Caenorhabditis elegans: one gene and its partner. The protein of the gene in region 1 binds, or shares a complex with, the protein of each later gene. Each region holds a gene or a part of one and is shown on either strand. Other genes may lie near its edges.

Region 1 (4,046 bases):
CTGGGCACTGTGAGAAATTTCCAATACTTATGGTAACACATACATTTAAAAAATCTAGTCTCCGAATAAATATTCCATCAGACTGAGGATTTCACTCAATTAAACACGCTAATTTAAACCCAAAAGAAAATAATTTTAGGATTTTACAAAATTTTGGTAAAATGCCAAAATTACCAACAATGTGAGATTTTAAAGCAGTTTTGAGCATTGATGCATGGTCGAACCTCTAGAATGTTCAAAAATAAAACACACGTTTGAAAAATGTTATGCCCCAAACAATTTGCCTGTAAAATTGAAAAATGCTGAAAAAATGCTGAAAAATTTTTACTATTATACTTGGTTATTTTAGCTGTATAAGAATGGTTTTTAGCACTATTTCTGAATTTTGTAGGAAACACTAAAATTCGCGGATCAACTCATTCGTAGCCATAATCAAAATTTGAAATATAAGATTTTATTTGAAATTAAATCAAAATAAAATAATTTAGTGCTTCTTGGCTCTAGCTGGGCATGGGCAATAGTTAGCATCTGGTCCAATAGATCCATCCTTTCCTGGCAATCCTGGTTGTCCATTATCAGCATCACGTCCTGGTTGTCCATCTGGTCCCTGTGGTCCTTGTGGTCCTTGCTCTCCATCAACTCCAGAATCTCCGTTCTTTCCTGGTTCTCCTTGAGATCCTGGCCATCCTGGAGTTCCTGGTTGTCCTGGAAGTCCTGGTCCTCCAATAGTTCCATCTTGTCCAGTTGGTCCTTCAGATCCTTCAGTTCCTGGCTCTCCTTGTGGTCCTTGTTCTCCAGTGATTCCGGCCTCTCCTGGAGCTCCATCTTCTCCACATTGTCCTGCAGATCCAGATGCTCCTGGGAATCCTGGCTCTCCAATATCTCCGTCTGGTCCAGTTTCTCCTGGTGGTCCTTGTGGGCATTGAATGCATCCTCCTGGAAGATGATGGGTAACAGCCAGAGATACTCCAGAAGCTCCATCACGTCCCTTATCTCCAGATGGTCCTTGATCTCCACGTCCTCCTGGAAGTCCTGGTGGTCCTGGTGGTCCTGGTGGGCATCCTTGAGAGTTGGCATCACAATTACATTGAGATGGATAAGCAGAACGCTTGTTACGGAAAACGCTGGCGAAAGCGGCACTGCGGGATTCAGAATCAAGAGATGGCTTGGTGAATCCAATCATACGATTCCATGCATCATCAGACATCACCTGAAAACAGTTTTTTATAGGCATATCCAGTTGAATCCTTTCGGAGTCCAAGTTGACTATAACTCATAGATTTATAAAAAACTAATACTTTAAATATAAATACTAACAGGTTTATCATAATTACCAACCTTCATGTCATGGACTCCAGTTACAATTTCTTCTCTCATCGTGTCAATATCGACAACAATGGAATGCATGGCGACAAGGGCGCCAAAAACGGCAACCAGCGAAATAGAAGCACAAACGGGAACCAAATATTTTGACATTTTTAGACGATGTCTGAGTGTTCCATCAGGAAACGATTCATTTTAATAGTGAAGACGTTCGTGGTGAGATATAATGTGAACTTGAGAGAGATGCGTGACGGTACTGGAAGCGAATCCACTTTTTTCGACAGCGCGAAGAATCGAATAAAAAGTTAGGACCGTATGGGAAATTGTTTCTAAGTTTTTGGTGCAAAAAACCATTAGTGATAAGGAAAACCTGCTTTTCCGTCCATTTTTCATTGCCGGATAATCTTCTTGAGTGTTTTTTTTTCTGATTTGCATTAAAATTGGTTTTTTAATATCTCAATTCATATACGATTTGTTTTCTGTCTGTTTCCCTACTAAAAACTTATATTTTGAAGTTAATTCACAACGTTTTCTCGTTTGGAAGCGATGCCTACCGTACCCTTGCTGTTTGAATTCCCGCGCCTGCGCATCAAACTTTATGTGTGCAGTGGCGGTGTACGCACACCATCAACTCGCGTCTGATTGCGGACTTGAAGCAAATTTGTGTTGTCCTAAAAATTTTCTATTCTTTTTTTGATTTTTCAGTGCTTTTCACGATTTTTTTAAAATAAAATTAAACAAAAAATAAGATTACACTGATTTATCGATTTTTAAAGTCACTGTCTACACTTTTTCGATTTTTTCGAATATTTATCGTTTTCTTTGCTTGAAATTCCGCCATCTTTGAGAGTTTCATTGTTCACTCGTAATATTATTTTTGTTAGTCATTTTTTGCTAATGGCGAACGCTAGAACTTCCCGTTTCCTTCGAAAATAAGCTTGGTTTCTTCCCGATAATCGTTTCGTTTCTCTCTTTCTATACAGGATAGTTTTAAAAATATAATATTGCAGAAGAACATGGGTCTCGTCAAGGTCATTAAAAACAAGGCCTACTTCAAGCGCTACCAGGTCAAGCTGAGACGTAGACGTGAGGGAAAGACTGACTACTATGCCAGAAAGCGTCTTACCGTCCAGGACAAGAACAAGTACAACACCCCAAAGTACCGTTTGATCGTCCGCATCACAAACAAGGATGTTGTCGCTCAGGTAAGGTTTTCATTAATTTCAAATGTAGAATATATTAATTTAAGTGTTTCAGCTCGCTTACTCCAAGATCGAAGGAGACGTCGTTGTCGCTTCGGCTTACTCCCACGAACTTCCACGTTACGGACTCAAGGTCGGACTTACCAACTACGCCGCTGCTTACGCCACCGGACTTCTTCTTGCCCGTCGTCACTTGAAGACCATCGGACTTGACTCCACCTACAAGGGCCACGAAGAGGTATTTTGTATTTCTATTTGATCTTACTTTAAATTCATACTTTAGCTTACTGGAGAAGACTACAATGTAGAAGAGGAGGGAGACCGCGCTCCATTCAAGGCTGTCCTCGACATCGGACTTGCTCGCACCACCACCGGATCCAAGATCTTCGCTGTGATGAAGGGAGTTGCTGATGGAGGCATCAACGTTCCCCACAGTGAGAGCAGATTCTTCGGATTCGATCAAGAGTCGAAGGAGTACAATGCTGAGGCCCACCGCGACCGCATTCTCGGAAAGCATGTTGCTGACTACATGACCTACTTGAAGGAAGAGGATGAGGATCGTTACAAGCGCCAATTCTCCAAGTTCCTTGCCGCTGGATTGAACGCCGATAACCTTGTTGCCGTAAGTTGAATTATTCCTATTTTTGTAACCAATGTTTAAAATATTCAGACTTATCAAAAGGTCCACTCCGCCATCCGTGCTGATGCCTCTCCAGCCGCAAAGAAGGCTGCCAAGCCATCCAAGAGACACACCGCCAAGAGGCTCACATATGACGAGAGAAAGCAACGTGTTGCCGACAAGAAGGCCCTTCTTCTCCAACTCAAGGAGCAACAGGAGTAACTCTCTTTTTGTTATTTCGTTTTCAAATGAATGTATTTGTTGACAGTCTCGAGTTTTGTTACAATTTGTTCGAGTACGATAAAATTATACATTGGATTTCTTGATTTTTGAAGTCTAAATTTCAGTTAAAGTTAAGATGTCGGAAAATCCTGTCGTTTCCGATAAAAAACCAGGCCCATCAAAAGACTCTTCCTTTTTCTCCGATTTGTATGACAATTTGAATCAAAACCCGTATTTTAATGCGGGAGCTGGTCTAGCGGGAATAGGAATAGCAATGAGCTTTCTGCGGAGGACAGCTCAAATCAGCAACACGTATTTTCGTAGGCGTTTTATGATCAATCTTCAAATTAATAACGAAGACGCGTAAGTTATTTACAGAAATCCATCAGAAAATATAATGATTTTAGAGCGTATCCATGGCTTCTCGATTTCATTAATAATCGAAGTGCTACCCAAACACGGAATTTATCAGCGAATACAGTTGTTCATCAAGCTGAAAGTGGCAAAACTGAATTATCAATATCATTCCTACCTGGCCATGGAACTCATTTTTTCGTCCATGATTATCGATGGATCAAAGTCGAAAGGCAGCGTGAAAAGCAAGTTATCCAGCGAGACGGAATTCGTACACCATTTGAAACTGTCACATTGACTACGTTAGGCTCAGATGTGAAGTTTTT
Region 2 (3,718 bases), on another chromosome or scaffold:
GAATAATTCTTCTATGCACTAACATTGTAATTAATTATCGCCATAACTTCCCCTCCTCTCCGTCCCATTTAGTTTATAGCATTTTTATAGAAGCCTTTCCCTCCCCCGATAATTCTTGTGAATCTTCAAGATCAAATTGATTTTGTCCTCTCTGCCCCCAGTCCAATAATCGTACTTCCCCCGAATGTGTTGCCATACTTTGAGATTGTCTATTTGCACGTCTGCCCTGCATATTTATGATAAATTGACTGAAAATATCAACTTTTTTTTTTTAATTTTGACTCGAATCTGCAAATGCTGAAATTTAATTAAAAATTATGGCTGTCTGAAGGATCTTCAAAGAAGTTTCGATACCTCTACGACCAGCTCGTTAGCAAAATACCAAACTCCTTTTCGATGAGTTTTCAAAATTCCTGGATAAATATCCTGAACTTTCTACATCAGAAGACCATTCGCAACGTAAAATTATTGATTCCAGGAAGTTGAAGTTCAGATCCACGACAATCAGACTATGATTCACAACTTTAACAAAACATTAGCAATTTCATTTTTAATAACAACAGTTTATTCAGAAAATAGAAAAACTTAACGACGACGGAAGAAGTTCTTCTTGACCTTTGGCTTTGGTGGCAGAATGATTCCATCGTACTTTTGCTGGAACCATTTGATTGTCTCCTCCTTATCGACACGGTGGGATGGTCCAATGCGTCCTGGTGCACGTCTGCGCTTGGAAACTCGAACTCCGTTGCGGTTCAGAACGACGTAGAAGTCCATTCCGTAGATTCCAATTCCTGGGTCGTACTTGATTCCGAGATCAATGTGCTCCTGGAAACAAAATAATCATCACTTTTGAACACTTCAACTTTAAGCTAACCTGAACTCCGAAACCGAAGTTTCCAGTGTCAGAGAAGTTCTCTTTGAAAAGCTCGTATTCCTTGACCTTGAGTCCCTTCTCGAGGATTTCCTCAGCCTTTGGTCCACGAACGGTGCAATGAACAGCAATCTTTTCGTTTCTGCGAATTCCGAAAGTTCTGACGGTGTATCGGGCCTTGGAGAACACTGGGGTTTGTCCGGTGAGCTGCTCGAGCACCTGAAAATATTTCGAAAATTTACGAATTACTGTAGAATATATTGGAATACCTTAGCGGCACGGGTGAGACGATCTCCAGACTCTCCAACACAAATGTTGAGACAGAGCTTTTGGATCTTGAGCTCGCGCATCACATTGCGGCCCTTCTTCTCGCGAATTTCCGTCTGTTTTTCGACGTCCGTCATGATTACCTGAAAAAAAGCATAAATACATAAAATTTGAAAACTGTGACAAGCGAGAACAAGTAGAGAGAAACGCATAGACACAAGTTCAAAAATGCCGATAAAAAATTAGCATCTTGAGATCCTAGAAAGATATTCAAATTTTAGGCCTAAAACAACGAAAATGGGAGGAGCGACGCGCACACACACACACACACACCGGCATGCGCTGAAGAGACGGCAGAGAAAACGGGCAAGCGATAGAACAGCACAAACGGGTGACAGAGACGGCGAAACAACGACAAACCACTCTCATTTTGTGAGGAAAACTCGAAAAATCAGAAAAAAAAACCTCGAATTAAAATGATTTTCGGCCCGATTTAGGATTCGAGGGTACGGTTTTGTTTTCGTGCCGAGATATCGTGGTCCCGAAAATGGTGTGTGCCTTTAATTTTCGAATTTAATTATTTAATTCAGCTTTTTTCCGATTTTCGCTCTTTTTTTTTGAAGTTTTCCTTGAATTTTCTTGATTTTTTCTATATTTTCTTGAAATTTCTTCTTTTGAATTGAATTTCTAATTTTTTTTCAACGTTTTTTGTTACAGAATGACAGTAAATGAGGGTTGGGATTCGTTCAAAACGAACAGATGGATTAATTTCGATACTATTCCATCATCCTCCTCACAAAATCGTCCTGCACCCCGAGCTCCTGAAATTGAAGTTAATAGAAAAACGCCTGATTCACCATGTAAGCTTTGGAAAATTTGCGAATAATCTGATTAATTTTGTTTTTTGCAGCAAATCGAGCAAATCGCCCACGAACGCTTTCAGACCGGGGAAACGAGATTTTGGATAATCATGAACTCGTCAGCAGTCTCTACGCTTGGAATTGGTCAGAATTGAGAGAGAATTATCCGGAAAAGGGAATCCAGAATCCGTCGATTTATTGCTATGCGATCTCGTGTGTTCAATTATTATCGCATGTTCCGGCAATTGTAAGGATCCTTCAGGATCATCAATGCCAAGATACAGGTTTGATTTATGATTTTTCTATGAAATATTCTCGCAATTATGCTAATTTTCAGCTTGTCTCTGCTGCAACTGGAAGAAAAACTTCCTTCAAAGCCATGGCCATGCTGGAACTATCAATTGGTTCCGTGAAGCATTCAAAAAAGATCGAAAATTCAATCAAGGCCGCCAGGAAGACGCTCATGATGCTCTCCTGGCGATTCTGGGGAAGCTCGATAAGATATCGGTGCAGAGCAATCCTCGTCTGAAAGGCCGCAAAGTGGCCGATGATTTGTTCGGATATTCCATAAGAAATGAAGGTTTTTGAAGCACTTTATTGATTTTTTTTTTAAAGAAAATAATTTTAATTTCCAGTTCAATGCCCCGGGTGCAAGAACAAGCACGTCTACTATGAGCACAACACCGTTATGACGGTTCGGATGCTTAGAAAGGATCCATCAGGCAAAAGCCACTCCATTAAAGAACTCATGCAGGCTCTGTTCACGGAATCCAAGATATTCGGCTATAATTGCTCAAAGTACTGGATTTTCGAACTCATTTTCCAATCAAAATTCCCCAATTTTCAGGTGCAAAAAGAAATCCGACGCGCCAGTGAAGCCCACACTTCTCCGAGCTCCACAGATCCTGCTAATGCACATTTCTCGCTTCTCGTTTGATGGTTGGGGGAAGAAAATCTCTCGGCCTGTCACCTTAAATGTTAGTTTTTAAAGAAAACGGCACAGGAAAAAAGGGCGGAGTCGCGAGCGCAATCCGCGGCGCGCGATTTCGCAACTCCGCCGCACAGTTTTATCCGAATGGTTTTTCACCTATTTTTCCGCACTTTTAAGTGTTTAAAGTCATTTAATTGAATAGAAATTAATAATTTGTGCTTAAAAATTCGGAAAAATGGGTAAAAATAGTTAAATTAAGCAACAAAAAAAAAATTCAATTTTGATTTCAGGAAACTCTCGATGTGACGAGTATGGCCACCGCCGGCGCATCCACCGTCTATAAGCTGTGCGGAGCTGTGATCCATGGTGGGACTACGCTGGACTACGGCCACTATTGGTGTGTGGCTCGATCGAGAAAACGAGAGGAGCAGTTCGTGACGTTGAATGATTCATCGGTAAGGTTCCGTGTGGCAATGTGACCTTCTAGTTCTCCTGTTTCAAACAAGTGAGAGAGAGAACATTGATTCCACAATGCGATTATGCAAAAAGATACATCACGCCGGAGAGATTCGAAGAAATATGAAACTCCATTTAAAAAAAAGGGCCGAACCGGGGATTGAACGCGGGACCTCTCGCACCCAAAGCGAGAATCATACCACTAGACCATTCGGCCACTGATAAATATTCAGCGGGAAGCCAGAGACGTAAAGCATGCTTGCTTCAAATGACTAATAAAGAATCATTTCTTACCATTTCTACGTCCTTCGCTTCCCGATGGATACTTATCCG

The links.
Region 2: rpl-5 (region 1) and rpl-11.1 share a complex: the UniProt entries of both Caenorhabditis elegans proteins name them as parts of the large ribosomal subunit.

What each region holds. Positions count from the first base shown.
Region 1 is NC_003280.10:8,567,594-8,571,639, forward strand, and holds rpl-5 (Large ribosomal subunit protein uL18), read left to right. Parts: upstream 1-2,333; 5' UTR 2,334-2,339; coding exon 2,340-2,528; intron 2,529-2,580; coding exon 2,581-2,763; intron 2,764-2,808; coding exon 2,809-3,147; intron 3,148-3,195; coding exon 3,196-3,366; 3' UTR 3,367-3,393; downstream 3,394-4,046. Other genes in the region: col-38 (Cuticle collagen 38), read right to left, coding at 485-1,210, 1,339-1,476; bcs-1 (Mitochondrial chaperone BCS1), read left to right, coding at 3,503-3,729, 3,774-4,046. UniProt on the Caenorhabditis elegans protein: Component of the ribosome, a large ribonucleoprotein complex responsible for the synthesis of proteins in the cell.
Region 2 is NC_003283.11:3,584,784-3,588,501, forward strand, and holds rpl-11.1 (Large ribosomal subunit protein uL5A), read right to left. Parts: upstream 1,282-3,718; 5' UTR 1,276-1,281; coding exon 1,141-1,275; intron 1,091-1,140; coding exon 875-1,090; intron 826-874; coding exon 586-825; 3' UTR 550-585; downstream 1-549. Other genes in the region: pygl-1 (Alpha-1,4 glucan phosphorylase), read left to right, coding at 1-6; T22F3.2 (Ubiquitin carboxyl-terminal hydrolase 36), read left to right, coding at 1,857-1,998, 2,049-2,282, 2,336-2,578, 2,634-2,796, 2,846-2,975, 3,220-3,384. UniProt on the Caenorhabditis elegans protein: Component of the ribosome, a large ribonucleoprotein complex responsible for the synthesis of proteins in the cell.